Linked DNA regions of Struthio camelus. The protein of the gene in region 1 binds, or shares a complex with, the protein of each later gene. Links are inferred from orthologs where the notes say so. Each region holds a gene or a part of one and is shown in the gene's direction. Other genes may lie near its edges. The genes, in order: PLK1, MIS18A, KNSTRN and SPAG5.

Region 1 (6,914 bases):
GTGAAAAGTATGAAGCTGTAAGCGCTGCTGACACTTGTACTACAGGCAGCTTCCTAATTGACTTCAATTGCTAATATGACTAGCTCCTCCTGTCAAAAATCTTGACTGACCCTTGTAGAAGCCATTTGCTGTAAGGAGCAGTAGGAGGCTGCCTCAGTCACCACGCCTCACAGGCTTGGAGATTCTTGCAAGATTGTATGCATGTCAGATGTTTAGGCGTTTATACTGCCACTCATTCGTACTACTTTGCACTGTTAACTTGCTATCAGCTGTCTCTTGAAGTGTGTGAAGTAGCACTGTATTTGGTCAGGAAGGGCCTATATGTGCTGTGTTGCCATGGTGTCACTTCAAAGTTTTAACACTACATAGTACATTTCACTGGGATCGCTTGATTAACGACCACAGTTGGGCAGCATGAAGCTAGGCTGCTGGAGGAGGGGTGGAGGGAGGGCTGCTGAGTTAAGGGATATGCGTTTGAGAGAGGAAATGGGACTGCATCTGGAAAGGTCTCAGGAATGATGTACTTCCATCATCACTTGAACAGCACAGCTGTAGTGCAGTGAGGGATATGTAACTGTATAGCCACTTACACGTTTCTCAGCCTTGTCTTCCTTCTAGCAGGCTGATTAAAACCTGTTTTATTGTCTCTGTTAAGGTGGCCTCTGCCAGGGTCTAAAAACAAGTCACCACTGAAGATCTCAAATACTCAGCAATGTTAACATTCCTTAGATTTGGTCACTTTACCCTCCTGTCCTCTGAAGCATCACTCTGACCTGGGCTCATCTCTACACCTCTGCCAGCTCTCTGGAATGATGGAGTATCAGTAGGTTGCAGCATGCTTCTACAGCCCCTGGGAATTGTAGTTTTCTGATGTCAACATTCAGTTTAGTGAAGTGCAATGAAACGTGACTTCCAAGAGAGGGCTTTGCTGCACAGCCAAAGAGGAGCTGTAGGTGCGTGGGGAAGCATGATGCTCAAAGGGATGGGGAGGGCAATGTGAATGCCTTCTTTCAAGAATCTTTTGGCAAAAAGCAATCACTTCAAACAGTAAACCACTATGTTGCTTCATCAGTCCTGTATACTCCCCTTTGCTCTGACCAAGACTGGAGGGACATGCTATTTGTGTTGGTCACTCTTATGTGGGGCATTTAAAGTCCTCAGGAATGTAAAACTGGGGCTTCAGAACGCTTCTCTTTTACTCTGTGTCCACCGTCATCTGCTGGTGGTTGTAATACCTGCCTGCTACTAGAATCAGGGGTAACTGTACTCACTGTAACTGGCTGAGTGAGACCAGCCAGTGCAGCAAACACAATCTGTTTGGAATTTGGCTGGAACGTGCTCTGAGCCCACTCACCCTCCCCATTGCTGCACAGCATTGCTCCCACAGCCAAACTTCTGCCAACCTGCGGGACCACAAAACACCCGAGAGCCAGACCTTCCCACTGCATACTTACACTTACATGATGCTTTGAGTCAGTGCTCGGGGGGGAGATCCAGCTGCTCCTTTGTGTCCTCATCCTGGCTTCAGCGTATGACCATGCATGCCTGGAGGGAGAGAGCAGGCTCATGGCCTAAGGTGCTACAGCTGACCTGTTCTTGTGCCGTTCTTGGTTATTGTTCATTGGTGTTTTGTTCTGAGCCAGCAGGCAGCAAAATCAGATTAAGGGGTGAGTACATACACTAAAGTTATTTTTCTTAACAGATGGTGTTCTTAGATTACAGGAACAAGCTCTCCAGGCCCTAGTGCACATGTGGTCCATTGCTGCTATTTTCTTTCCTAAATAGTATCCCATGTGGTGACTGGGACGAGGAAGGTGAAAAAGTCATTAACAAGGTCAGGCACAATTTCACTCAGCTGTCAGAATCTCACCCCCACGGGACAGAGAGGGAAGGGAGAGGTGCCACAAGAGAAACTGAAAATGACAGCAGGAATATGTGAGACCACAGAATAAAAAATCAGCAGGATGACCAGGTTCTTGGAGAAATGCGGCCATATATGAACAAGCAATGTCTTGGCTTGGAGGAGTCTCAAAAATGTGCACGGAACGGAGCTGTCTAATTGCCATTTCTCTTTCACAGAAAAAACTAAGTACAAACTGTAACATGAATTTCCCTTCCAAAAAAATGCTTAAACTAAGTCTGCTAGAAGGACTTGACTGAAAAGCTGCTTACAGCCCACAGGACGGGGGGAAAAGGATTCAAACTAACGTCACCTTTGGCTGTTTCTCGTAAAAGTAACCCCCTCCAAATGCACTTAACAAAATACACTTGCATTCCTTACTGGGAGGACAGTTCTGCAACTGGTATCGTCTGTGTATTTGTGTCTATAATTTCTGTTTGACTTCCCAAATCCACAAATGATGGTATTGATTCAAACAACTATAGACGTGCATAACACTGCCTTGAGGAATTCTGAGTATTTCAATATTGTCCAATGCTGCCCCAGTCTTTGTGAGCTGGTTCTCAATTATATGTCATCCCCTTAGAACCTGCATGCTTGTACTTGTCCCCCTGTGCTTTCTTGAGCCCTTCTTGTACACACAAATAATAAACAGGTAAAAAAGAACTCTGCTGAAGGGTTGACTGCAGTGTCCTATCAATGCTATATCGGTGCTGTGCTGCCAGGAGGGTTTTGTGTGAGTTCAGGCTAATGAGAGCTTTTATCACACAGAAAAGCAATCAACATCTGAGTGGCAGTATTAAGCACTGTAAAAAAGTAAATGAAGTTTCCACGCTGTTGTGGGAGACGTTTAGACAACGGAAAGCTTCCATCTATAACTCAAAGATGGTTTCAGCCTCTGCTAAGGTGGATGGCAAACTGCCCTGTCTGGTTGACCTCAACAAGTCTGTTAGAGAGCTCTGCCAACAACTTGCCCTCTTTTCCCAGTTTTTCAGCTCAAAATGGGAGGTACCTCCACTCCCAGGGCGGACGGGGAGGCTGCGGCGCAGGCACCACGTCCCCTGCTCCGGTCTCGGCGCTGGTCCAGCGTCACGGCTGCCTGCCGGCCCTCGGCGTCCTGTGGGGAAGGGTGTCCGTGTGCCGGGGGGACGCGGGCCCTTGGGGAGCGCCTGATGTGACAACGCTGAACACACCAGGCGTCCGGAGCCCAGCGGCCTCCCCTGCCAGCACCGCTGGGGGCCAGCTCCGGAGCAGGGTCCCCGAGCAAACGGGAAGACAGCCGCCTCTCCCGCTCCATATTTCGGTGCTCCTCGCGCTGCTGCCCACGCGGTGACTGCGGTCTCGAGGGCGGCGGACGCTGCTGGGGCTGAATGCAGCGGTGCCGGGCTGCCCGTGGGGCCACCAACCCGGCGCTCCCCATCCCCGAGGTGGGGGAAGCCCCACCACCCCACAGCCCCACGTTGGCGTGTCGCCCCAGGGGGCCGAGCACATGCACCTTTGCGTCCTCGAAGGACGCCAGAAACCACGTGAGCTGCTCCAGACGGGGCAGGCGAGCCGAGTCCCACTAGGCGGCTCCCCCCAGCCGGCCCGGCCCAGGCTGCGCCGCGGTCACGCGTGGGACAGCGCCGCGCTGCGCCCCGCCCGGCCGCCAGGCGGCGCCCGCGCCCCCCGGGCCGCGCCGTGCCTGTCTCTTTAAACGCGGCGGGCGGGGGCGCGCTCCCATGGTGCGTCGCGGCGGGCGCTTGGATTTTAAATCCTCTCGACCAATGGGGAGCGCCCTGGCGCGCGTAACGCTCCGGCTCCGCGTTTGAAATTGTTACAGTGTTGCCGCGGCGGCCACAGCGCTCTGCGCCCGCCCGCACCGCACCGCAGGCTCTGCGCCCGCCCGCACCGACCCTCGCCGCAGCGGCTCCGCGCCCGCCCGCCCGCACCGGGGTTACCGCGCCGGCTCCGCGCCCCTCCGCTGCCCCTCGGCCCCGACCCCGGTCGCGCCCTCGCGGTCCGATGAGCGCGGCGGGCGGCAAGGCGGCGCGGCCGCCGGGGGCGGCGGAGCCGGGGCGGGCGGGCGGCGCGGCGGCGGCGGCGGGCGGCAAGGAGGTGCCGAAGGTGCTGGTGGACCCGCGGACCCGGCGCAGCTACGTGCGCGGGCGGTTCCTGGGCAAGGGCGGCTTCGCGCGCTGCTACGAGCTGGCCGAGGCCGAGAGCCGCGAGGTGTTCGCCGGCAAGGTGGTGCCCAAGTCGCTGCTGGTGAAGCCGCACCAGAAGGAGAAGATGTCCATGGAGATCGCCATCCACCGCAGCCTGGCGCACCGCCACGTCGTCGGCTTCCAGGGCTTCTTCGAGGACGCCGACTTCGTCTACGTGGTGCTGGAGCTCTGCCGCCGCCGGGTGAGGGGCTGGGAGGGCTCCGGGCCGGGCAGGGGGGTCTGAGGGGGGATCGTGCCCTGGGGCCGAGCAGGGGGGTCCGGGGGCTCTGGGGAATCGGGGCAGGGGGAGTCTGGGGGGGATCGTGTCCTGGAGCCAGGTGGAGGGGAGCTCTGGGGGGGCCGGGGAATCAGGGCAGCCCGGGGGCCGGCACACTGACGGCCTCCCGCAGTCGCTGCTGGAGCTGCACAAGCGGCGGAAGGCGCTGAGCGAGCCCGAGGTGCGCTACTACCTGCGCCAGACCATCCTGGGCTGCCAGTACCTCCACAGCCACCGCGTCATCCACCGCGACCTCAAGCTGGGCAACCTCTTCCTCAGCGATGAGATGGAGGTGAAGATTGGTAGGTGCCTGTGACGCAAGTGTCCCCTGCCACAGCAGGGACCCCGACCTCAGGGGGTCCCTGACAGTGTGGGGGCCTCTGGCTTATGTGCTCATCTTCCTCATGTCTCAAAGGTGACTTTGGCCTGGCCACCAAAGTGGAGTATGATGGAGAGCGCAAGAAGACCCTGTGTGGGACCCCCAACTACATTGCCCCAGAGGTGCTGGGCAAGAAGGGGCACAGCTTTGAGGTGGACATCTGGTCCATTGGCTGCATCATGTGAGTCAAAGCACCCCCCATGACTGGGCTGTCCTGTGCTCCAGGTCTCCTGGCGGTTTTGGTATAAGCTGAAGCTTTGGGCATGCTGTCTCCAGAGCACCCACCCTGGCTGAGCACTGCTGTTAGACCTGCTCGGCTAATATGCTCACATGGGGGCTGTCTTGAGGTATTTTTCCCAAAAGCCCTTATTCCTAACCAGAACTTTCTCCAGGGGTACAAAATCCCAACTCCCCCCCTCTGGGAGAAGGAGCTAGAAATAATACTTCTGCCTGCTGTACCAGCTCTTCCTGGCAGAGGGAACAAGGAAGTCATTGGGAAGTCACAGGAGGCACTTCAGGATGGGGCTGCTTCTGGACCAGGGGTGTTGTAGTCCCCCTGCAGGCTGCCTCATACAAAACTGACACACTTCTATGTCCTTAAACACACAGGTATACCCTGCTGGTAGGGAAACCACCTTTTGAAACCTCTTGTCTAAAGGAAACTTATATCCGAATTAAGAAGAATGAATATACCATCCCCAAGGTATGGCACTTCCTGTGGGTGGACTCAACCTTGCAGCAGGTTTTGGTTGCCTTCTGCAGCATTCTGCTTCTGACACTTAATGAGCTCTTGCAGAATGGTGAAACAGCTCTCCTTGCTGAGTGCTATGAAGGGGATATTTCAGTCTGTGGTAGAACAGACCTGTGGGGTCAGCTTCCTACTGAGGAGCCAGCAGCTCCTCCTTGACATATCAAAAATCTGAGCTGGGCAGCTGGCACATGGAGGAAAAGGCCATGGGGTAAACTAACTTGCTCAAGTCCAGCCACAGATGAGGTCTGGACCAGGTCCCCCTGCTCTATTCCACTGTTGGTTCAGTCTTGCTAGTCAGTTGACTTAAAGCTCTGAACTCTGCCAGGAGATTGTACAGGTGCTGGTGAGCTGTTCTGTTTCCCCAGGCTGGCGTCCTGTGTGCCTGCTGCAGCACAGGAGCTCTGCTTTGAGAAGAGCTGTCCCCATGTTGCACACCCTGTGCACGTTGCTCCTTTTGCACACTTTTCCTTGACTTTTCTTGTTTCTAACTCTGCCTCTGTTTTCTCCTAGCACATCAACCCTGTAGCTGCTAACCTCATCCAGAAGATGCTGAGGTCTGACCCTGCCACACGCCCAACTATCGATGAGTTGCTGAATGATGAATTTTTCACATCAGGATACATCCCTAACCGCTTGCCCACCAGTTGTCTCACCGTCGCACCTAGGTTTTCAATTGCTCCCAGTGGGCTTGAACTGAATGGGCGAAAGCCATTGACTGCACTCAACAAAGGTGAGCGCAAGCACCTGGGAGCCGAGGGCTGTGCGCTGCAGTGCTGGTTGAAAGCCTACCTGGCCTCTGGCAATATCCAGACCTTTGGTGGGGAATGTGATACTGCCTCACATCTTCATGACTCTCATGAAAAGCTGGAGTACACTGTGAATGGGAGGTCTCCTCCCTGCTTTGAGTCTGGGCTGTGTCAGCACTAGCTTTAGCTATATGGTGTGTAACATGTTTCTTACAGCTAGGGTTGAATGTAAAGCTGGTGCCTTTAGAAACCTACTTCCTGGTAATGCCTCCACACTCTTCTCTTTCTTGGCCCAGGACCAGACAGCCCTGCACTAGAGAGCTTGCCTGAAAAAGATGATGTAGCTGGGCTGCGGGAGCTGGGAGATGCTGTTGACTGTCACTTAGTGGACATGTTACAGCAGTTGACTGCAGTCAACTCAGCCAAGCCATCTGAGAGAGTGGCTGTGAGACAAGGTGAGCCTGGGGACAAACCCACAAGCACTGGCCTTCCTAGGTAACTTGCTTTTTTGTCATTCTACTGCTGTTCAAAGTGAGGGGCCAACTGATCTCCTTGGCTTCAAACTGGAAGGCAGAGAAGTGATGCAGTAGCTACTTGCCTGCCTTTTGGCCTTACTTGCTTACTGCCATGTGCAGGATGCCTTAAAACGTCTTCTAATAAACTGTTCTCTTGGCA
Region 2 (7,409 bases), on another chromosome or scaffold:
CTGCACCAGTGCTCTGTTCCCTCACAGAGCGAACTTCCCATGGTTCAGTTTGTGCCCGTTGCCTCTCGTCCTGTCGCTGGGCACCACGGAGAAGAGTCTGGCCCCATCCTCTTGACACTCCCCCTTCAGACACTTGTACACGTTGATGAGGTCACCTCTCAGTCTTCTCTTCTCCAGGCTGAAGAGGCCCAGCTCTCTCAGCCTTTCCTCAGAGGAGAGACGCTCCAGTCCCCTAAATATTTTTGTAGCCCTCCGCTGGACTCTCTCCAGTAGCGCCATGTCTCTCTTGTACTGGGGAGCCCAGAACTGGACACAGTACTCCAGGTGAGGCCTCACCAGGGCTGAGTAGAGGCAGAGGATCACCTCCCTCCACCTGCTGGCAGCACTCTTCCTCATGCACCCCAGGATACCATTGGCTTTCTTGGCCACAGGGGCACATGGCTGGCTCATGCTTAACTTGTTGTCCGCCAGGGCTCCCAGGTGCTTCTCCACAGAGCTGCTCTCCAGCAGGTCAGCCCCCAATCAGTCCTGGTGCCTGGGGTTATTCCTCCCCAGGTGCAGGACCCTGCACTTGCCTTTGTTGAATTTCAGGAGGTTCCTCTCCGCCCACCTCTCCCAGCCTGCCCAGGTCCCTCTGAATGGCAGCACAGCCTTCTGGTGTGTCAGCCACTCCTCCCAGTTTAGTATCATCAGCAAACCTGCTGAGGAGGCCCTCTGTCCCTTCATCCAGGTCACTGATGAATACACTGAACAAGACTGGACCCAGGACTGACCCCTAGCTACAGGCCTCCAACTAGACTCTGCACCACTGACCACAACCCTCTGAGCTCTGCCACCCAGCCAGTTCTCAGTCCACCTCACTGTCCACTCATCCAGCTCTCACTTCCTGAGCTTGCCTACGAGGATGTGATGCGAGACAGTGTCAAAAGCCTTGCTGAAGTCCAGGGAGACAACATCCACTGCTCTCCCCTCATCTACCCAGCCAGTCATCCCATCGCAGAAGGCTATACGGTTGGTCAAGCATGATTTCCCTTTGGTGAATCCATGCTGACTACTCCTGATCACCTTCTTGTCCTTCATGTGCTTGGAAATGGTCTCCCGGATGAGCTGCTCCATCACCTTTCCAGGGATGGAGGTGAGGCTGACTGGCCTTTAGCTCCTTGGCTCCTCCTTCTTGTCCTTTTTGAAGGCTGGAGTGACATTGGCTTTCTTCCAGTCCTCAGTCACCTCTCCTGATTGCCATGACCTTTCAAAGATGATGGAGAGTGGCCTAGCAATGACATCCGCTAGCTCCCTCAGCACTCAGGGGTGCATCCCATCGGGGCCCATGGATTTGTGGATGTCAAGCTTGCCTAAATGATCTCTAACCTGATCCTCCTCAACCAAGGAGAGTCTTCCCTTCTCCAGACTTCTCTCTTGTCCCCAGGGTCTGGAATTCCTGAGGAATGGCCTCAGCAGTAAAGACTGAAGCAAAGGCGGCATTCAATAACTCTGCCTTCTCTATATCCTTTGTTATCAGGGCACCCGCCCCATTCAGCAGCGGGCCCACATTTTCCCTAGTCTTCCTTTTGCTATTGATGTATTTGAAGAACCCCTTCTTGTTGTCCTTGACACCCCTTGCCAGATGTGTCCCTTGCCACATATCCTTTCAGTGGAAACAGAGCTTTTCCACAGGCAACGTGAAATAAGTGTTTCCGCTGACGATACAGCAAGGTCAAAGACACCAAGCTACCAGCACAGGCACCTAAGCTAGATGCCCCAAGTGGATGGTATGAACGGTCGTTCCTGTACTGTCCGGTTCAGTCTTCACTGTCAACAAGGCAGTTTCTGGCACTGTTAATTACAAAGACATGACAATGTTCTGGCAGAGTATCCTGTACTCCTTACAGACTAGATCACTGTAATGACCTTGTTCAAAGCTATTTTGGTCCGTGAAACCACACCTGGGTAATCAGAGTCTTTGGTAAACTACATAGCAACCAGCAATGTCCATAGCTGTTTGATGGATACCATAGATAGAGACTTGGCAGAAATGGGAGGGAGATACTGCCTATAGCCTGAGTGACTCAGATATGCCTGCCCGCTCTCCCTAGATCATTGTAACTCTGTCCAATTATATTGGGTTACATTAATCCCTCATGACATGAATTGTCATTTTATCTTATCAAAATCAAACCAATGCAATTACAAGAGGAAAGAAATCGACCTTCCCTGTTAAGTAACCAAAAAAGACATCACTATGTCCTTGTGTAAAACCAAGCATGCAACAGAATTAACAGTCCGATACTTTGTTAATATGACTGGATTCGGTGAATGTTATTTCATATCCATTGAAAATAAACTTTTAAAACCCGCAGAGTCTGTTTCCATGATCATAATGTATGTGGACAATAATGTGTATTATTACATTGTCTTACAGTTCAGGAGTACTAAATCATAGCTTTTCTCATACATTATTTTTGGTTTAGTACAAAAATCAATAGGATTGCTTAGAGATGGATGCCAAATAAAAGCTCAAAGGGAAAAAAGTAATAGAATATGTTTTCAGTTTGCTGTTCCTGGCTGGTGAAAGCATAAACTTATTCTCTTATCAAGGCTCTAACGGTGTTTAAATCAGTTCTAGCATAAGCTTTATGTTCCAAGAGGAAAACACTATAGTCTTATGAACAAATCTGTTCATTCCGTCATCTTTTCTGATGGTAGCATGCAGATAAAGAACACCCCAAAATACTGATTTGCATGTCATTAGATCTCTACTTAGCAAATGGTCAAAAAAAAAAAAATCCGTCCTCTAAATCAGAGTTAATGTCAGCAGTCTTACAGTTTGAAATACCGTAAAATAAATCAAATAGCTTCAGTATAAGTAGAAATTGCTATCAGTACGTAAGTTAAGATAGTTTGGAACACAGACACTCATCCATTCAAACCACGTACAAATAAGCTAGCATGGTATCTATTACAAGGAAAAAAGTAAGTCAGAGAGACTATGCAATATTTTGCCAACTCATTTTTCCTGTAGTAGATCAGCATCTACCACTCTACAATACTTACATTTATTAACCTTCAACTTCCTTCCATCTACTGGAATTGGATCTATATAATCCCAATAATATTCATAAGACCAAAAATACTCCGATGAGTTTGTTCTGTTAGCCATTTCAGTAGTGCATTTTAAATCAGCTCAGAACTCCAACCAAATACTTTGCTTCATTGTACTTCAGCGCCCTCAGAAAGAGATTGCATAACTGATGCCTATGTAAATCACTCTGGAGTCCTGCAGCTCAAGGACTGCCTTGATAATAAAAAACATTTAGCAGAAAGGAACATTAATGTAGGACAGATATGTAACAGCAGCCTTTAAATACAATCCTCTCTTCCTGGCGGGCAATTATGTTATTCCTCAGAATATTTTAACTGAGATGGATATAAAGTAAACTAAGAATGGCATGGACACAGGCCAACTGCGTTCCAACCATGGGAGAAACTAGCAACAAGGAAACATATTCTGGACCCACTGAAAATAGCTGAGCTGAAAGAAATTTCTGAATTTCCGCTGACCTAAAAAGCAGGTAAGAACTGGTAAAATACTTCTGATATAAAGAATGTATTGAAATAACCATATATTTTGCTTTGGCACTTTTTTATTCCCCTCCCCCACCCAAAAGCAATGGATGGAGAAATAGTCTCCCAGTCAAGACAAAGGTAGTCGAACTGCCCTGTGCATTCGGCCCACGGCACTGTCAGTGTCTACGCAAACACACACGTATACTTGCTTCATCAAAGTTAGCAAAATTTCTCACTTTAAAAGAGAAACAGATCCTCAGTGAACTTTTACCTGCATTCCTAAAAGCTACAGGGTAAGTCAGGGCTAGGCAAGTCAGGGCTGCTCACCCAGGCCCAGTCCCTGGATTGGCGGGCGGCACGGAGGCACATCGGGCCTCTCGGCACCCCTCTACAGTGGGGAGCACACTGGGGCATCACTTGAACCGCGAGCAACAAAATGCGGCAGACTGGACAAAACCAGCGGCCTTCCAAACCCGCAGCAAGCCTTTTTGCTTCGCCTCCCCGTCACTAGAGCATTCAGGCCCCTCCCAACGTGCCTCTCGACGTATCTTGAGGCCGAGGACAGCAGGCCTGGCTAGCTGAGGGCAGCAGCAACGGCGACGACCGCCCGCCAGCCGCCCGCCGCGACCGTTAGCGGCGCCAACGGCCGCAACAGGGCGGCGGTGGGGGTGGGGGCTGCCTGAGCGCGCCCAGGGGGAGAGGGCGGGGCCGCGCATGCGGGGCGCCGTGTGGGCGGGGTTCACGCGCGGGCGGGGCGGGAGCCGGGGAGGGTGGGGGGCGGGGGCGGGGGCGGGGCGGCCGCCTCGGCTCTTGGGGCGGCGTCACTGCCGCTTCCGGCGCGGGCCGCTTGAAGGCGATGGCGGGCGCGCTGTACGCGCCGCCGGGCGCCGCGGCGGGGCCCGACTCCTCCCTGTCGCTGCTGGAGGCGGACGGCGCGCGGGAGGCGGCGGCCGAGGCGGGGCCGGGCGGCCGCGGGGCGGACGAGGACCTGCTGCCCATGGTGTTCCTGTGCGCCGGCTGCAAGCGGCCGGTGGGCGACACGCTGAGCTGGGTGACCAACGACGAGGAGGCGGGCTGCATCCTGCTGCGCAGTGAGTCCTGCCCTGCCCCCTCCCTCCCCCCCCCCCCCCCCCCCCGCCGCGCGCGCGAGGCGGCGGCCGTTGGGGGCGGCCGTTGGTGACCGCTGGTCCCTCTTCCCTCCCCACCTGCGCGCAGATGCGTCTGCCAGCGTCTCGGTGGACAAGGAGCAGAAGCTCTCCAAGCGGCCCGGCGAGTGCGGATGGTGAGGCCCGGTGTCGCGGCGGGGGTGGGCGGCTCGGGGCGGGGGAAGGTGCCGAGGAGGGGCCCGGTGAGCGGCTCGTCGGGTGCTGCCACCCCGCCGTCCCTGAGGAAGGCCGGGGGGCCTTGGCCTAGAGCAGCTCCTCCAGGTGGCCTGTCTAAAGTTTACCTCTTAGTCTTGCTGAGGTCATCGGGCTGAGGGTCTGCTTTGGGAACCTTGGCTGGAAGATAAATGTTCGTAGTTACAGTGTGGCATTTGAGAGTGAATCCTCTGAAGATCACAAGCAGGTGAATTGTTTTTGAATAGGTGTGGGGAAAGCCCCCTCCCCTTTGAATAAATGCTGTATGTTTTCCTTACAGCATGGTTGAAACTTTGTCCTGCTCTGGCTGCTCAATGATACTTGGCAATGTCTACAGGTGCACACCAAAGCATCTTGACTACAAGAGAGACTTGTTCTGCTTCAGTGTTGACTCCATTGAAAGGTAAAGGTAGCATTTTTAGGGATGCCTCTAGGTATCATTTATATGGATTGCTGCTGTTAGTTTTACTGGAATATCTAGAGGTAGTTATCTCTTTCCAGGGTAATTTTTTGTGTTACTGCTGCCAGCATTGTACTGTTGAAGTCATAGAAATGTCATCTGTGTAATACTAGAAAAAAACATTAGAAAAATAGAAATACCAGGGTCTTCTCTTGTATAAGAAACTGCATACCAAGCACAGAAGTAACACTAGGTAAGCAATATGGGCGTTACTTCTAGTCTGATCAAAAGAGTATGTAGATGCTCTACTCCAGCTGGCATAAAACTACCTTATTCTCTCAAATAGTACTGAATAGGCCTAACTTAAAGCTACTAGAAGTAAGTATTATCAGAAGAAAAGATAGGCACAGGGCCTGAAGTAGAATTTAACCTGTCTAGGTGTGAAAAAAGGTGAAAGTGAATCCTGACACTCATTGTGTAATTGAGGTTCTTAGTATCTGTTCTGCAGTTCTCTTACGGTGCACAAACTTTTTTATACTCGATTGTCTAGAAACTGAAGATGTGCCGTTGTATTGGTTTTATTTGGTTTATTGCACTTGAAGCAGGTCTTAATTCAGGATGAAGTTAGTGAATACTTTAAGTCTACGTACCGGGGTGCTTCTATTGCTCTTACTTTGTTAATGTTTGGATAATTCACCTTTATTTCTCCCTGGGACTAAGTTTAGCATTTCTGCTTTTTATTAAGTTCCAGTGTATTTTGTTGCATCTGTATTGATGTTCTCTTCCCTCTTTCAGGCAATGGTGGGTTTTTGCTTTGCCTCTTCCATGGCAGTAAAGCTCTCTGAAAGATTGTACCATGGTCCCAAAATGTCTTTTTGGGGCGTGGGAGGGTAGGCAATAATGGTGATGACTGGTTGTTCCGGCTAGTACAACAGTCTCCTCAATGTTGGAATAACTCTTCACCTTACGCTGTAGCATCAGAACTCATGATTGTCTTTTGGAGTTCCAACTGTTATACAGTGATGGTATCTTAGTAGTTCTGAGCTTAAAATTGCTTTAATTCCATTTTATAGTTTGTTTGCAAGATTCTAAGTATGGATTTTGTTGCTGAATCATGCTCTTGCTTTGGTAACTTATTAATCATAGTCTTGTAATCACTGAGAACAATGAATGAGTTATGTTTGTTTTTGCATTCAGAGCAGAAAGTGCATGATCTAAACTGTAGCATATCAGTTACGTTCTAGGATCCTCGGAAAAGCAAGCTCTTACTGATGAGGAGCCTGTAACTCTTGAGAGTCGAGCTGTTTTGGAAGAAGCACTAGAAAGGGTAAGGTTTAATCTTACATCGCTTGTTGTGTACCTCAGATGAATCTTCATATCCTTAGTTTCTACAAAACAAGCTATAGTCTCAATTGGACCCAATTCTGTGCATTTTTACTGTACTCTGTGACACTCATGCTGTTAGTATTTTGTGTTAGGTAAGACTTTGATTATAATTTTAAGAAGCATTTCTATTTGTCAAATACAGCTATAGATTCCTATCTCTGTCAGAAGTCTGAACCATTGCTTGCCTCTTGTAGCTTTGTTTTGCTTCTCCAGTTTTTTTTTTAAAGACTGATTTAATCAAATTTTTTCTGTAGAATCCTATCCTTCATGTAAACGGATTCACTGCTTTTGCTGCTGTTCTGTATTGAAGTATTGCATAATAAATATGAGTGGATACTTTCCTCTAGAAGTCTCCTGACTGTGGATAGGGAGAGCTGAGAGCACATACGATAACCAGATTAGCCCTGAAAGCTGCCATTTGTATAGCAGAAGCTGAATGTGTGGAATTCTTGCTTCAAAGTGAGAGGACAGCTATAGCAGACTCTAGAGAGTGCTGAGAGGTCATATTAGAATTGACTGAACTTTTAGACTGTGCAGATAGTGGGAAAAGAATCCAATAGGATTGATAACACATGATTGACTTCTAGCATACATGTCAGAAAGTGCTTGCTCTTTGTTTTGTGAAGTACCAAGTATCTTTCCTTATTTACTTTATAGGCAGACACCATACTAAAGGCACTGGAGGCGAGGCTGACTGTAGT
Region 3 (7,526 bases), on another chromosome or scaffold:
CAGATTCACCTACTTCCCTTTTGTAAACCTGACAGCAATTGTAATCCTCAGCAGCATCTGTGCCAATCATACCTTTGTCTTTTTTGACCTCTGGAACCTCAGCAAGAGCCAGAACCCTTCTGCTGGGCTTCCTCAGTGGGTGAGTCAAACCATGCACCATTTTGCATATCTAATGCTGGCATCTTGCTTCACAACAGGTGCTGCTTTCTATGCCAGCTACATTAGCAATATAATAGCCATCCGCTGCTTTGCTGTCTACATGGGCACCTCTGTACTGGTGAACCTGGTATTCATGATGACTTGGCTTCCTTCTTCTGCTGTCCTGTACGAGCGCTACATAGCAACAAACTGCATTTACAAGCCGGAAGACTACTGGAACAACACTGGCCATAAGAGAGTTATTGTCTCCCTCCATTACATTCTCAGGGGTCTCCAGAACACATTGTGTGAAACCTCCAAGCTGTTATTTGAGAAGCTTCTGCCTTGCGGGGTCATAAAGTTTCGGTACATCTGGATCTGCTGGTTTGCAGCCTTAGCAATAGGAGGTGCCTACATTTCCTGTTCCAACCCTAAGCTCAAACTGCCTACTCTTGAGACATCATCTGTTCAGGTGTTTAGATTGAGCCATCCTTTTGAGAGGTACGATTCCGAGTACTGTCACCAATTCATGTTTGAGAGGCTGGAGCACGGAGAAGGACAGCGTATGCCTGTCACAATAGTATGGGGCATTCTGCCTGTGGATAATGGGGATCATTTCAATCCAAAAAGCAATGGCACCCTAGTGACAGATATCACCTTTACAATCCAAAATCCCGATGCCCAGAAGTGGCTCCTCGAATTCTGCCAGAAAGTGAAGAACAAAACGTTCTATTACCCCGATGCTGAGCAGAAATCTACCGTGTGCTTCATGGAGGAGTTTCTCAGGTGGATGGACAGTCGCCAATGCTCCCAACGAGACCACAGCTTCAACCTCTGTTGTAACCAGTTCTCTTTCCCGTACGGAAGCGACGTTTTCCTACACTGCATCAAAATGATGCTCCTGGAACAAGGTAGGGAAGGGGCTGAAACATATGATCTGGGTCTCAGGTTTGACGGAGAGGGAAATCTTGCTGCCTTAGTGCTACAGTTTCAAACTATTTATCACTACAGCTTCAATTACAGCAAAGCCAAACATTTCTACGAGGAAATCAACCTCTGGATAACAGAGGAAATGAAAACTGCCCCCGTGGGGCTTCAAAACGGATGGTTTACCAGTAAACTAGAGCTATACAATCTTCAGCACAGTCTTAGCACAGAAACGATGGTGGTCATGGGGCTCTCCATAGCCATTTCCTTTGTAGTGCTGCTGCTCACCACTTGGAACGTTCTCCTTAGCGTTTTCTCCGTTACTGCTATTGCAGGCACCGTCCTGGTAACTGTTGGCCTTTTGGTCCTCTTGGAATGGCAGCTCAATGCAGTGGAATCTCTCTTCATTTCAGCTGCAGTAGGTCTCTCCGTTGACTTTACCGTGAACTACTGCATCTCCTACCATTTGTGCCCCCATTCTGATCGCCTAAGCCGAGTGGCCTTTTCCCTGAAGCAGATGAGCTGTGCCACAGCCATGGCAGCTTCTGCTCTGTTCTCTGCAGGGGTCATCATGTTGCCGGCTACCGTCCTGGCGTATAGGAAGCTGGGGATATTCATAATGATGATCAAGTGTATCAGCTGTGGGTTTGCCAGCTTCTTCTTCCAGTCACTGTGCTGCTTCTTTGGCCCAGAGAAGAACTGCGGGCAGATCCTTTGGCCTTGTGCCCACACCATGAAAGACTATTCTGATGACTCTGGGCTGAATGGAAGCTTTGCCTGTGGGGGAAGTGAGAAGCAAAACAGACTGCGTAAGGTCCAGGAGTCCAACACTGCAAATGAGCAATATGAGCTCCAGCCCTTGTCCAGAAAACTCAGTGACAGTTTTGACAACAGCACTTCCACAAGCAAGTTGTCCAATCGGCCATCAGTACTGTCTGAAGACACACAACTGGAAGACAACAGATGCCCCAGAACAGGAATGCACCCTTCTCTTGAAAGAGAAAGACAGAATCTGCAGGAGACTCTTGGAGACCAGCAGGTTGGTCTGTGTCAGTGCCCTGCCTTACAGACGTCTTCTCCATACAAGCACAGCAGCTCAGGAGCAGAAATTCAAAGGGAGAGGCTCTGTAGAGATTGTCAATGTCAAAAGTACGGTCCAAAAGCTTGGGACGAGTCTGTGCTGGACCACATCCAACTGGCTGGTGTGAAAGATGACGGGCAGCTCAATAAATCACAGTGCTCTAGTGACACTGCCCAGCAGCAGTCAGATTATACCTCAGACAACAGTCATCTTCCTGCTGCTGACATCTACAAAATTCACAGATGCCTTTGTTCTCTTGGCAGCTCTTTTGACATGCTCAACATCTCCAGTGAGACGTCAATTAGTGATTTTGAGCAAGGCCTAAAACTTGCTGAATCAGCCAGTTCTTGTCCAGATGTTTTAGAGCTGTCAGATTCATACAGTCAAACAGAAAGAGGTTACTTGAACGGGAAGAGAGATACCCTGCGGCTGGACCTGAGGGAGACTGTGTTTGATATCTCGCCAGTAGCATCACAGCAAAACAGCTCCTCATGGAAAAATCGATTTGGATTAGGGAGTGAAGATCCAGTTGTGTTACCAAACAGCCAACCAGATATGCCTGATGTTTGGATCAAACGATCTAGTGCACAAAATGCTGGTTACAGCAGTTGAAATTTTGCAGGAAATAAACCGTACTGCTTGGGAAAGGAGAAAGGCAAAATCTCCTCTGAACTGTAAATATCACATCTTTCCTCCCATTTCTCCTAGAGCTGAGACTATTTCTTAGCCGTGCAAACACCTGTGTTTTCACAGAACCAGCAAATCCAATACTAGTGAGGGGATCAATCTTAACGCAGTACAAGCTCTTTGACCTTCCAGTGTCCTGTTCCACATACTCAGCTGTACTGCAGAGCTTATCAAGTAAACATTCTCTGTCATTTCCTACAGGGTGATTAGATTTTGTTTTCTTGTCAGACCCATACAGGAGAGAAATACTGAGAGATGAGTCTCTCCAGATATTTAAAGACAGAGAAGTCATATTTAAAACATATAAATAAATAAATATATATATATATATATAAAATCTAGATATCAAGTGAAGAGAGTTGTTAACAAAAAGAAAGGCTTTCATTTTTTTCTACTGATTCCGAAACTGTTTTATGTGAAGTCTAGGTTCACAGATCTCTACAAAACACTTTAGATATTTCAAACAATCTCATCAAGACTTTTCACTTGATATGGTCTTTTACTGATCACGGAGGCTATAAAAATAAAACCCAGCCCAAATGTATTTTCAGTAACAATTTCAGTTTGTTTTACCAGAAGAAATTCCTTCTGGTACAGCCAAAGATTTTCAACGTGAGATTTTCCCTTTGAGAAAACAGTGTCCTTGTCCTGGGCGCTTTGTGTTTTGTCTTCATAGCTTGTTTCCAGTCAAGGTATTCTAGATAAACATGTAACTTTTTAAAATTTGCATATCTGACAACTCTTGAATTTTACATTTTTTTCTCTACCAGAAACAAACAGAAAAACAAACACTTCCTGGCCTTTATCTGTTGAAAGAAGAAAAACATTCTCTCTACAGGTTAACGTAAAATAAATGCGTATGACAAACTTTCCTAAATCTGCGTGATGCTTCATTTTCACCAATACCGTGGCTCATTTTCTTCATCTCTTACGAGTCTCATGTCTTTTGCAATATAATCAGCAAAAGGAAGACATGCACCTGAAGAGATTCATTCTTCTGACACCCACAGTCGTTTTGCCTGCTCTGTGGGAAAGGGATGGCGATTGCCAAAGGTAGATTAGGCATCTGCACTTTTACAGCTAGTAACCCAACCTGAAACATGTAACTGATTTCAATTTCGCTGAGGGGGTTTGCATTTTCGCGGAGCAGCTCTCACGCTGGGTGCTCAGCTCGGTATTTCGGCAAGCGGACCCGCACTCAAGCCGCGAAGCCAACACCAAGCCAATTGCTCTCCGCACAACAGCCTCCCCTTATTATTTGGAAGGATTTGCCACCCCTTTTGAAAGTTATGCTTGGAAAAAAACAATGAGAGCACGGAAGCAAGCAAGCAAACGGATTTTATAGAGGAGCCTCCTTCTCCCTTTCGGTGTGGGCCAAGGGGAGGGCGACTTTAACGACCCAAAGCGCTGAGGGGGTGGCCCCAGCTCCCCCCAGGGCACGGCCCGCAGGGCCCCCGCTGCCCCGAGTTCCCAAGCGGCGGGGCTCAGGCGGCGGGGAGGGCACCCCTGAAACCCTCCCCGTCAGAGCCGCCGCAGCGAGATGGAGCCCGGCCCCGCCAGAGCCGCCCCGCCGCCAGCGCCGCCGCCACGTCCCCTCCCCTGAGGCGAGAGCAGGCAGACAGCACGCGCGCAGCCCCACCCCCAACACAACGGCCCCCTGCCCGCCTCCCCGGCTTCCGCACTGCGCCTGCGCGCGGCGCCAGCACCACCGCCTCCGCGGGCGGGGCGAGCGCGCGGGCGGCGCCTGCGCATGTGCCGCGCCCGGGAGCCGTTAGGCGCCGGCTTGAATTCAAACGGGCGGCGCGAGCGCGGTAGGTGCCTTTGCGTTCTTGTGCTTCTCTCCCGTCTCCCCTCTTCTTCCCGCCCTGCGGTGGCGAGGGGGCGCTGGGCAAGGCGGGGCGGGGGGAGGGATGGGGAAATGGGCCTTGACGCCCGAGCGGTGCCGTACGATGCCTCTGGGTGAGGGTGTTTGTGCCGGGGCTTGCAGGCGAGCAGCCGTTGGAGAGGCGTCACCGGGCGGCGGCCGCTGAGGGGAGGGCCGGCGCGGCGCGGCGCAGGATGGAGAGCGAGCCCTCCCGCATCCCCGTGTACGGCGCGCTCCACCGTGGCGGCCCCGCAGGTGCGTCCCGGCCTGGCTCCGCCAGGCAAGCAGGGAGGGCGTGGCCCGCCTTGCCTTGCCCTGCCCCGAGGTCCCGGGCCCTCGGTGCTGGGTGTCTGCCTTAGGCCAGCGCAGAGGGCGGCGGGAGTGGAGGCAGCTTTTAAGGAGCTCCGATACTGCCTTGGTCTGTGGTGGCTGTTGTGGAAATCTTATTAAGAGTTTTTTGTTGTTTTTTCCTAACCTAGGCTACCTTCTGATAGAAATTATACACCTGCATCATCTCTGCTTAAGATTTTGCAGTTAAAATTTCTTGGCTAAACCTGTGTTTTTGAGGAGGGTGGGCTGTTACTATCAGAATCACAGCTGAGCCTTTTGAGATGACTGCTGGTCTGGTGCTGATGTTAGGCCTGCCGAGGGTGTATCTCCTGCTTATCTGGATGCAGTGGCTTTGTGAGGTTAAAAATACTTTTCTTCAGAGGCTCTTACTTCTGTAGGTCTTCAGATACTACTTGCAGCATTTTACCTGTTATAAGTATGAGGCACCTAGACTTAAAATTTAGAACATGAGAGCCAGTGTGTAGGAATAGAACCCCCCCTGCCCTGTGTAACTCTAGTATGAATTGGATATAGATATGCCATTTGAGAAAGGCTTAGCTCACAAAACAAGCTCTGAAAAGCCACTCTGTAAGCAAAGCTTTATTTACTCTATGCATGTATGTATGTGCTTTATGGCCAAATAAACTTTACATAAATAGCTAGTTCTCTTTAGAGTTATTTCAAAAGTATATCTATTGGAAATTAAAATACAAAGCTCTCTTACACTGAGAATTTCATGTGGGCTGTATATATTTGCTTTCAGTGCTGCACAGCTTTGCTTGGAACACTGTGGCTTGCTGTTTGCCTAATGTTGAGACCTCCTTTACTATCATGCCTGCATTATTGTTTTCAAGCTTTATCCTATTAGTGCTAGCCTAGTAATTATATTTTAACACTGTCTGCCATGAGCTATCTGTGGCTTGTTTTGAACCATGAGTAGAATTTAGTTGTTAGTTAGTTGTTGCTTTCTCAGTTCTAACCCTGTAAGATGTTTTTTTTTGTCAAACTGAAAGCTTAGTAGCTCCAGTAGTTTGGCACATTACAGTGATCTCTTGCAGACAGTGGTATTTTCATTGCTGTCTTTCTCTTGCAGAAATGCAAATGGTGTTTCCACCAAAGAAACAATGTGTCAGCAAAACAGCTGATCTACAATTTAGCAAGGATCCCAATTTTAACTTTAGCTCAAATATGCCGGGAGATGGTGTCTTCAAAGCTACAAACCAAGGGTAAGTGAAAGTGAAATAGTGATGGATTTGTTACTTGATAAATATCCTGAAAGTGGCTTAGCATTTTGCAGTTCTTCTCAAACCAGCAGACTTGGTAATCTGTAAATATGCAGTGTCTTTCTGTGGTAATAGTATTCTTCTTGTTTTTTAAGGCTTCCTAAATCTGCCAAGAAAATGGAACCACTTTCAAAAAAGACAGCTGCAAGAGGGTATGTTTTCTCAAATAGCTACTAGTTGCTCTAATGCAACAATGTTCCATCTCAAAGAGTTATGATGAGTTCTCCCCCACATACAGCTTCTTTTGGCAAGTGTACTGATGAAAGCTCTCTTGGTCATGAACGAGAGCAAATACTCAAAGGACGACACTTGGTGAAAATAAAAGAAGGGGTATGTAACGCTGATATTTTTGCACCTAAGTCTTTGATGTTTGACTCTACAGACCTCTAAGCAGATACAAATTAGAGACAGAGCTGAAGACCAAGAATCAGCTGTTAGAAACAGCTAAACAACAACTGCACTCCCGACTAGCAGGAGCACAGGTAAGGAGAAAAACATTAATTGAGCAATTCTTATATTCTGCCCTCTATAGGGTCAGACCAAATGCTTGCTTGTTATTCTGTCTCCATCAGAAGCTAGTAGAGTGTAAGAGTAGGCTGGATCTTTTCTTCTTTGACAGGTCCTAGCAGGATATCATTGGTCTATCAGCAGAAATGCAGATGTATTTGGCTAGATAATGCCAAATTATCCAGATTGTTGTTAAATAGTCATCAGTGCTCCAATTCCATCTTAAACTCATTGCAGGAGAACATTTCAAGTTCACAATTATATGCTTGCATAAAACAGCCTCAGTGTTGACAGATGCTCCCTTGTTACATTGTGAGAAACTGTAAACAATCTCTTAGTAATTACCACTCAAGACTTGGTCTGTTAATTCTTTCTTTCATCCTGACCTCCTAACATACTTCATCTCTCCTCATACAGCAGATAAGCTATTCAATTTTTTTAGATCATCCTTATTCCCTTTGCCAAATCTCTGCTAGTTCTGTTACCCCATCACAAGAAGCGTGGTGTGGGAACTGCATACAGTATTGAAGATGGGGGTTTTTCAGGAGTGTATATACCTGCATTTTAGTAGTTAAGAACTTGGATTTAGGTCACTGCTGGGCACTAAGAATTTGAGGGACACTGACATTATTCTTAGTATTACTAACTCAGTTAATTTGGTGTATGTAAGCTTATGCTTCTTCCGTGTGCTATTGTGCCATATTGTTAA
Region 4 (7,060 bases), on another chromosome or scaffold:
GCCGGGGGAGGGCTCGGGCGCGCCGCCGGGGCCGGGGGGGCGGCGGCGCGGGGCGGTGCTGCGCGGGGTTATGTAAAGCGGCGGATTAACGGGGCCGGCCCGGTGCCGGCCGGCCGGTGGCGCGATGGGAGCAGCGAGCAGCGGCCCCGGCCCGGCCCCGGCCCCGGCGCGGCCCCCCCAGGTGCGTGCGGCGGCGGCCCCGGGGGTGCCGGCCGGCGCGGGGGTCCCCGCCGACCGCGGCCCCCCGCGCTGACTCTGCCCCTGCCCCCGTCCCGTCCCGCAGGGCCGCGCCGTGGCGCCGTGGGTGCGGGCGCTGCTGGGCCGCGCGGGGCCGGGGCCGGGGCCGGGGTCGGGGCGAGCCCTGGTCGCGCGCTGCGCCGCCGAGGAGCCGCCGGTGCCCGGGGGGCCGCAGCTCGCCTCGCTCTTCCTGCCGGAGTTCCCCGTGCGCCCCTCCGCCCGCCAGCAGCAGCTCAAGGTGCCGTCCCGAGCCCCCGAGCGTCCCACCGGGCTCCCCGAGCGTCCCACCGGCGTTCCCCCTTGCACCCCGTGGCGGCTCCCTCTGCATCCCACCGGTGTCCCCCTTGCACCCCGTGGCGGGTCCCCACCATCCCACCGGGTCCCTTTGCACCCCATGTCGGTCCTTGCGCCTCCTACCAGGGTCCCCGTGCACCTTAATAGGGTCCTGAGTGTCCTATTGGATCCTGTGTGTCCCAAGCGGGGGTTCCCATGCATCCTACCGCGATCCCTGTGCACCCTGCCGGATCCCCGTGCCCCCCCCTGCGCCCCGTGCCGAGGTTCCCCATGTGCCTGTGGGGCACCATGCGCCCATGCTGGGGGTCTCGCGTGCCCCCACCTCACCCCGTGCCTGGGCACCCTCCTGGGTACCCTGTGCCCTGCCCCTCACCCCCTATCAGGGTGCCCCTGCCCTCTAGCAGAACCCCCGCGTGCCCCAGCCGTGCATGGGTGTCCCTGCTGCAGGGCACCCGCACCCCTGCATAGCCCTGTGCTGGGGTGGTCCCGTTCCTGGCTTCTCGCGGGGGCTCTGCGGGGTGCTCAGGCCCTGCTCCCCACCTAGATCCTGGGCTTCGTGGCCAAAGGCTCCTTCGGGACCATCCTCAAAGTGCTGGACTGCGGGCGGGAGAAGGTCTGCGCCGTGAAGGTGGGTGCTGCCGGCAGGACCGGGGGCGGCCCCCCCACCCTAGGCACCTCCCTGACGGCCCCTCGCCCCCAGGTCGTGCCCAAGGTGGAGGTGCTGCGCCGCGACACCCTCAAGCAGTGCAAGGAGGAAGTGAGCATCCAGGTAGCGGGGAAACAGGGGGACAGGGGACGGGGTCACGGGGCGCCCAGGGGGCTCAGGGTGCCCCGGGAGGGCAGCAGGAGCGGGGCCCCCACCCTGGGGGCCACTCACCCTCTCTGTTTTGCATCCCCAGAGACAGGTCAGGCACCCGTTTGTTCACTGCCTCGGGGACAGCTGGCAGGGCCAGCGCCACCTCTTCATTAGTGAGTGACCATCTGCCCCGCGGGCTCGCTGGAGCGGCCCCCCCGCGCCCCCCGCCTGGCCCTGCGTGCGGGCGCACGTGTCTGGAGCTGCCCGCACACGTGTCGCCCTGCACACGCGCACGCCTCCCCTGCTGCCCGCCCGGCGGGCAGGGGACGCTCGGCTGCCTCTCCCCCCGCCGTCCCCCTCCAGCAGGCACCGTGGCCACAGCCCCCAGCGGGCAGGGGGGAGACAGGGCCGGGCAAGGGCTGGCAGCAGGGCTGAGCCAGCTGCTCCAGCCCCAGTGCCCACCTGGCCCCGATGCTCAGGTGGCCCCGGTTGCTTGAGCGATCTCGGTACCCGTGTGGCCCCAGTGCCTGCACGGTCCCAGTGCTTTTGTCACTGTGGTGTACGCATGGCCCCAGTGCTTGCAAGTTCCCGGTGCCCAGGTGGCCCTGGTGCCCATGTCACCTTAGTGCATGGCCCTGATGCCCACATGGTCCCAGTGCTTTTGTCACTGTGGCACTTGTGTGGTCCCAGTGCTTGCATATTCCCAGTGCCCAGGTGGCCCTGGTGCCCATGTCACCTTGGTACGTGGTTCCAGTACTTGTGTGGCTCTGGTGCCACATCACCTTAGTCCCTGGCCCTGGTGCCCAGGTGGCCCTAGTGCTTTTGTCACTTTGGTGCCCACATGGCCCCGGTTCTTGCACGTTCCCGGTGCCTACGTGGCCATGGTGCCGCGGGGCAGCCCGGTGGTAAGGCCTGGCCGCCCCATCCCTGCAGTGTGCACCTACTGCAGCACCGGAGACCTGCACGCACGGTGGCTGGCCGCCGGGCGCTTTGCCGAGGCCACCGTCCGCCTCTTCGCCGCTGAGCTGGTGCTGGTGCTGGGTGAGTGGCTTGTGGCCGGGGGCCTCCTGCCTCCTGGGTGAGCCGTGGCCCGGGAGCGCGCGCTCGCTGCAGGGTGGCCCCACGCCGGCGGTGGGGACGGGTGCAGGAGGGGAACCACCGTGCTGACCGGGCTCCGTCTTCTCCCCCAGTTTATCTCCATGACCTCGGCATTGTGCATAGAGACGTGAAGGTGGGTGAGAGCGGTGGGTGGCGCGGGGGCTGCTCCAGGTGGGCGCGGGGCGGCGGGGGCTCAGCCCGGCCTCCGTCTCGTTGCAGATGGAGAACATCCTGCTGGACGAGCGAGGTGAGAGACCGGCAGTGCCGGGTGCGGGGACGGCCTGCGCCCCGGGGCCCCCGCCGCGACACTGCCCCTGTCGCCCCGCAGGGCACCTCAAGCTCGCCGACTTCGGGCTCTCGCGGCACCTGCGGCGGGGCGAGCGGGCGCGCACCATCTGCGGCACTTTGCACTACATGGGTAAGGGGACGGCAGGGGGGCGGCGGGGGGCACGGCCGTCCCCGGCACTCACCCGCTGCCCTTGGCCCCGCAGCTCCCGAGGTGCTGAGCGGGGGCCCCTACGGCCACACCGCTGACTGGTGGTCCCTGGGCGTCCTGCTCTTCGCCCTGGCCAGCGGGAAGGTGAGTGCCACGGGGGCCAGTGGCGGACCGGGGCGCCCCGGGGAGCCCCTCAAACCGCCTCGTGCCCCCCCCCCCCCCCCCAGTTCCCGGTGGCACCAGCACCGGACCACGTGGCCATGCTGGAGCGCGTCAACTGCAGCAGCTACGAGAGCCCGGGTGCCCTCAGCTCGGCGCTGGCCCGGCTGCTCGCAGAGGTACCCCTGCCCGCCCGGACGCCGGGGTCCCCGCTGGCCCCCCGGCCCGGACGCCGGGGTCCCTGTGGCTCAGTGTCCTCCGTCCCCAGCTGCTGTGCCGAAACCCACTGCGGCGCCTGCGCTACCTCCACCACTTCCAGGGCCACCCTTTCTTCCGGGGGATGGCCTTCGACGCCGAGCTGCTGCAGAAGGACCCCGTGGAGGCGGCCGTGGCCCCGCGGCCGGTGGAGGAGCCCCTGCCCGAGGCCGCCGTCACCTTCGACGACTTCGACTGCGACCTCGCCGCCCCTGCGGGCCGGCCCTGGCCTGGCTGAGCCCGCGCTTGGGCCCTGCCAGCCGGAGGCCGTGCCTGGCGCTTGGGCCCTCTTCGCCATCACTCAGGGAAAAACCCCCCTCCGGCACCGGGTCGGACCCCGCCGTGCCAGTGCCCCCTTTCCCACCAACGCCGTACCTCTCCGCGCGCTCGGCGGGAGCAATAAACCAGAGACCGCCGGGCATCACCCCCTGCCCCGGAGTCGAGTCGCCTGGCGCGCCGGAGGGGAGGCCAGAGCAGGATGCTCCGGAGCAGGCGTCTCCCTGCGGGCAGCGGAGGGAGGGCGAAGGCGCGTCGCGAGGGCCGCGCACGGGTAGGACACGGCCGCTCCGCCCGCGGGGCCCGGCCGCGCCGTCGGCCGCCCGGTGCTCGGCGCTGTACAAACGCCTCCGCCCCGCCCCGACGCGCCGCGGGGCGGGGCTTACCCCGCGGCCCCGCCTTAGGCCCCGCCCCCGGCGCGGTGACGCGCGGGCGGCGCAGCCAATAGGAGCCGCGCGTGGTTTTCAAACGGGGCCCGGCGGCGGCGCGCGGGGAAGCGGCGGCGGCGGCGGCGGCGAGACCGAGCCGATCCGAACCGGCAGGCAGGGAGCGAGCGAGCGGGGCCATGCGAGCTGCGCAGCCGCCCGCCGTGAGTGCCCCGGCGTCCTGAGCCGGGGGTCTGTTGGGGGGGTCCCGGTCCCGGTCGGGGGGTGTCCTCCCCGGTAGGGCCCGTCCCGGAGTGGCGGTCGGCGTGGGCCCCGGCTGGGAGGGGGGTGCCGGTGCGGCGGTGGAGGGGAGGCCCCGGGAGCGGGGGTGGGGGAGCCCGGTACCGGGACGGCGGTGCCGGTGAGGCCTCGCGGTGCACGGACCCAGTACAGCCCCGTAGGGCCCCGCGGGCGGGGGGGTGCGCGGGGGCCGGGGCCCGGGCGGCCCCGGTGCCCGCGGTGACGGCCGTGTCCCAGGCGCGGCGGCCCGGGCGCGCCCCGCTGCGGGAGCTGCGGCTGCAGCCGGGCGCCGAGCGCACCTGCCTCACGCCGCTGCTCCGCCGCCTGCGGCTCAAGGTACGCGGTGCTGGGGGGGACCGGCGACACGGGGGGCAGCTGGGGGTGGGGGCGCTGCGGGGGGGGTAACAGCCGGGGGTGGCAGGGTGTGCTGGGGGACCTGGGGGAGGGGACAATGGCGGGGGGTGCTAGGGATGGTGGAGGGGACAGCTGGCGGTACTGGGGTGGGGAACTGGGGATACTGGGGGAACAGCTGGAGGGGGGTAACTGGGGAGGGGCAGTGCTGACATCCCCCTGCCCTGTGTCCTGCAGGACCATGACAGTGCCAGCCCAGGGCCATGCACCCCGGAGCCCCTCAGCAATGCCACCCCAAAGCCCCCCAGCAGCACCAGGGCCACCCTGGAGCCCCCTGGCAGCCCCACCCCGGGGCCCTGCAGCCTGGAGCCCCCCAGCAGCCCCACCCCAGAGCCTGCTGGCAGCACTGCCCCAGGGTGCTGCACCTCACAGCCCCCCGGCAGCACTAGGGCCCTGGAGCCCCCTGAGAGCACCCCCGTGGGGCCCTGCACCCCAGAGCCCCCTGGCAGTGCCACCCTGGAGCCCCCTGAGAGCACCCCCGTGGGGTCCTGCACCCCAGAGCCCCCTGGCAGTGCCACCCTGGAGCCCCCTGAGAGCACCCCCGTGGGGTCCTGCACCCCAGAGCCCCCTGGCAGTGCCACCCTGGAGCCCCCTGAGAGCACCCCCACGGGGTCCTGCACCCTAGAGCCCCCTGGCAGTGCCACCCTGGAGCCCCCTGAGAGCATCCCCATGGGGCCCTGCACCCCAGAGCCCCCTGGTAGTGCCACCCTGGAGCCCTCTGGCAGTGCCACCCTGCAGCCCCCTGAGAGCATCCCCGTGGGGTCCTGCACCCCAGAGCCCCCTGGCAGCACCAGGGCCCTGGAGCCCCCTGAGAGCATCCCCGTGGGGTCCTGCACCCCAGAGCCCCCTGGCAGCACCAGGGCCCTGGAGCCCCCTGAGAGCATCCCTGTGGGGTCCTGCACTCCAGAGCTCCCTGGCAGTGCCACCCTGGAGCCCCCTGAGAGCACCCCCACGGGGTCCTGCACCCCAGAGCCCCCTGGCAGTGCCACCCTGCAGCCCCCTGAGAGCACCCCTGCAGGCCCCTGCACCCCAGAGCTGCCTGGTAACGCCACCTCAGAGCCCCCTGGCAGCCCCTCCACAGTGTCCTGCACCCCAAGGCCCCATGGCAGGACCCCGCTGGGCTCCCCAGGCAGCACCACCCCAGCATCCTGCACCCTGGGCCCCCCCGGCACCAGCTCCACCCCACAGGAAGCCCCCTTCCACGGGTGGCGAGTGGCGCCCGCCGACCTCTCCTGCAGCCCCACGACGCCCACTGACCTCTCCTGCAGCCCCACGGCACCCGAGCCCCTGCACAGTGACGGGGATGCTGGTCCCCCACCTTGCAAAGGCTCCTCCAGGGGATCTGCGTCCCCGACCACCTCTCCGCCGGGGCAGGACCCCCCTGGGCCCTCTCCCACCAAGGCAGGTGGGTTGGAGCCTGCAGGGCCGGAGCCTGCGGCCACCTCTGTCCCCTCGCCTGAGCTGGCCCCAGGTGCCGTGTCCTGGGTGATGCCACTGGTGTGGCTGGAGAAGAGCCTCAACGCCTCGTCTCTGCTGGAGTCCCTGCGGCACAGCCTGCCCCTGCCCACGCTGCAGCAGGACGTCGGTACCAGCATCACCCCTGTGCCCGCCGTGGCCACCGGGACCTTCATGACTCCGCGGGACCTGCTGGAGAGGAGCACGAACACGTCTGCAGAAGGGCCTGCTTGTGCCAAGGACAGTGCTGCCGAAACGGACTCTCTGCTCTGGCAGTAAGTCCCTGTGCAGCAACGGAGCTGCAGGGATGCGCTGTCCCAGGGTCCCCCCCCATCGGCAGGCCACCCCACCCGCGGGGTGCCCCTGCTCCGGGCCGGGCCCTCAGGTGTTTCTCCTTCCCTAGCTGTCCCCGGGAGCAGCTGAAGTCCCTGCCGCGAGCGGAGCTGGAGGGGCGGCTGGAGAGCACCCTCATCATCATCGAGGCGCTCTCGCTGCAGCTGCGCGACTGGCAGGAGAACCAGCGGCCGCTTCCCGGCGTGGGGCCGGCGGAGCAGAGGGACGCGCTCACGCAGACGGACGTCACCCACCCCAAAGGGGTAAGGGGCTGCGCCGGGGTGACGCCGAGCGTGCGCGCCCCGAGCGGGGAGCGAGCCTCGGCGCCGCGGCGGTGCCCGCGTGTCGCCCGCAGCGCTGGCGGGGCCGCAGCTGAGTGCAGCGGGCGGTCGCGCTGGGCGCAACTGGAGCGGAAGTAAAGCGGGGCGAGCAGGGACGCGCGTGCCGGGCTGCTGCGGCAGGGGCCCGCTGCGTCACGCGCCCACCGCCGCTCCAGCTGCCTCTCCCAGTTATCGCGCCTGGCTGCGCGCAGGTCGCGCTGCTGAACCCGATGACTTTGCTGAACACGAGCCTGTTCTGGGGGGGGGAAACAGGGCAGCAGGCCTGGGGAAGATGCTATTGCCCCCGCAAAGCGGGCAGCGTTGA

What was found.
Region 2: the proteins of PLK1 (region 1) and MIS18A are in contact, whole or in part, in a crystal structure (PDB 8S30), measured with the Homo sapiens proteins. The link is inferred for Struthio camelus from reciprocal best matches to the Homo sapiens genes PLK1 and MIS18A. Residues at the interface, in NP_005021.2 of Homo sapiens: Lys413, Trp414, Val415, Asp416, Asp419, Leu490, Leu491, Arg516, Asn533, Phe534, Phe535, His538, Lys540; in NP_061817.1 of Homo sapiens: Ser50, Met51, Trp52, Ser53, Ser54, Met55.
Region 3: PLK1 (region 1) and KNSTRN share a complex: the UniProt entries of both Homo sapiens proteins name them as parts of the astrin (SPAG5)-kinastrin (SKAP) complex. The link is inferred for Struthio camelus from reciprocal best matches to the Homo sapiens genes PLK1 and KNSTRN.
Region 4: PLK1 (region 1) and SPAG5 share a complex: the UniProt entries of both Homo sapiens proteins name them as parts of the astrin (SPAG5)-kinastrin (SKAP) complex. The link is inferred for Struthio camelus from reciprocal best matches to the Homo sapiens genes PLK1 and SPAG5.

Annotation. Positions count from the first base shown.
Region 1 is NC_090956.1:1,058,332-1,065,245, reverse strand, and holds the start of PLK1 (serine/threonine-protein kinase PLK1), read left to right. Parts: upstream 1-3,904; coding exon 3,905-4,288; intron 4,289-4,496; coding exon 4,497-4,665; intron 4,666-4,778; coding exon 4,779-4,923; intron 4,924-5,351; coding exon 5,352-5,445; intron 5,446-6,003; coding exon 6,004-6,223; intron 6,224-6,535; coding exon 6,536-6,694; intron 6,695-6,914. Other genes in the region: DCTN5 (dynactin subunit 5), read left to right, coding at 656-676. UniProt on the Homo sapiens protein: Serine/threonine-protein kinase that performs several important functions throughout M phase of the cell cycle, including the regulation of centrosome maturation and spindle assembly, the removal of cohesins from chromosome arms, the inactivation of anaphase-promoting complex/cyclosome (APC/C) inhibitors, and the regulation of mitotic exit and cytokinesis.
Region 2 is NC_090942.1:119,787,340-119,794,748, reverse strand, and holds the start of MIS18A (protein Mis18-alpha), read left to right. Parts: upstream 1-4,405; 5' UTR 4,406-4,420; coding exon 4,421-4,655; intron 4,656-4,779; coding exon 4,780-4,846; intron 4,847-5,202; coding exon 5,203-5,325; intron 5,326-6,555; coding exon 6,556-6,649; intron 6,650-7,365; coding exon 7,366-7,409. UniProt on the Homo sapiens protein: Required for recruitment of CENPA to centromeres and normal chromosome segregation during mitosis.
Region 3 is NC_090946.1:4,863,288-4,870,813, reverse strand, and holds the start of KNSTRN (small kinetochore-associated protein), read left to right. Parts: upstream 1-4,519; 5' UTR 4,520-4,583; coding exon 4,584-4,644; intron 4,645-4,820; coding exon 4,821-4,952; intron 4,953-6,120; coding exon 6,121-6,253; intron 6,254-6,405; coding exon 6,406-6,462; intron 6,463-6,692; coding exon 6,693-6,792; intron 6,793-7,526. Other genes in the region: DISP2 (protein dispatched homolog 2), read left to right, coding at 1-2,758. UniProt on the Homo sapiens protein: Essential component of the mitotic spindle required for faithful chromosome segregation and progression into anaphase.
Region 4 is NC_090957.1:16,565,718-16,572,777, reverse strand, and holds the start of SPAG5 (sperm-associated antigen 5), read left to right. Parts: upstream 1-4,055; 5' UTR 4,056-4,116; coding exon 4,117-4,140; intron 4,141-4,453; coding exon 4,454-4,552; intron 4,553-4,804; coding exon 4,805-6,357; intron 6,358-6,485; coding exon 6,486-6,678; intron 6,679-7,060. Other genes in the region: RSKR (ribosomal protein S6 kinase-related protein), read left to right, coding at 125-181, 284-475, 1,076-1,159, 1,232-1,300, 1,431-1,500, 2,261-2,368, 2,518-2,558, 2,645-2,672 and 4 more. UniProt on the Homo sapiens protein: Essential component of the mitotic spindle required for normal chromosome segregation and progression into anaphase. Required for chromosome alignment, normal timing of sister chromatid segregation, and maintenance of spindle pole architecture.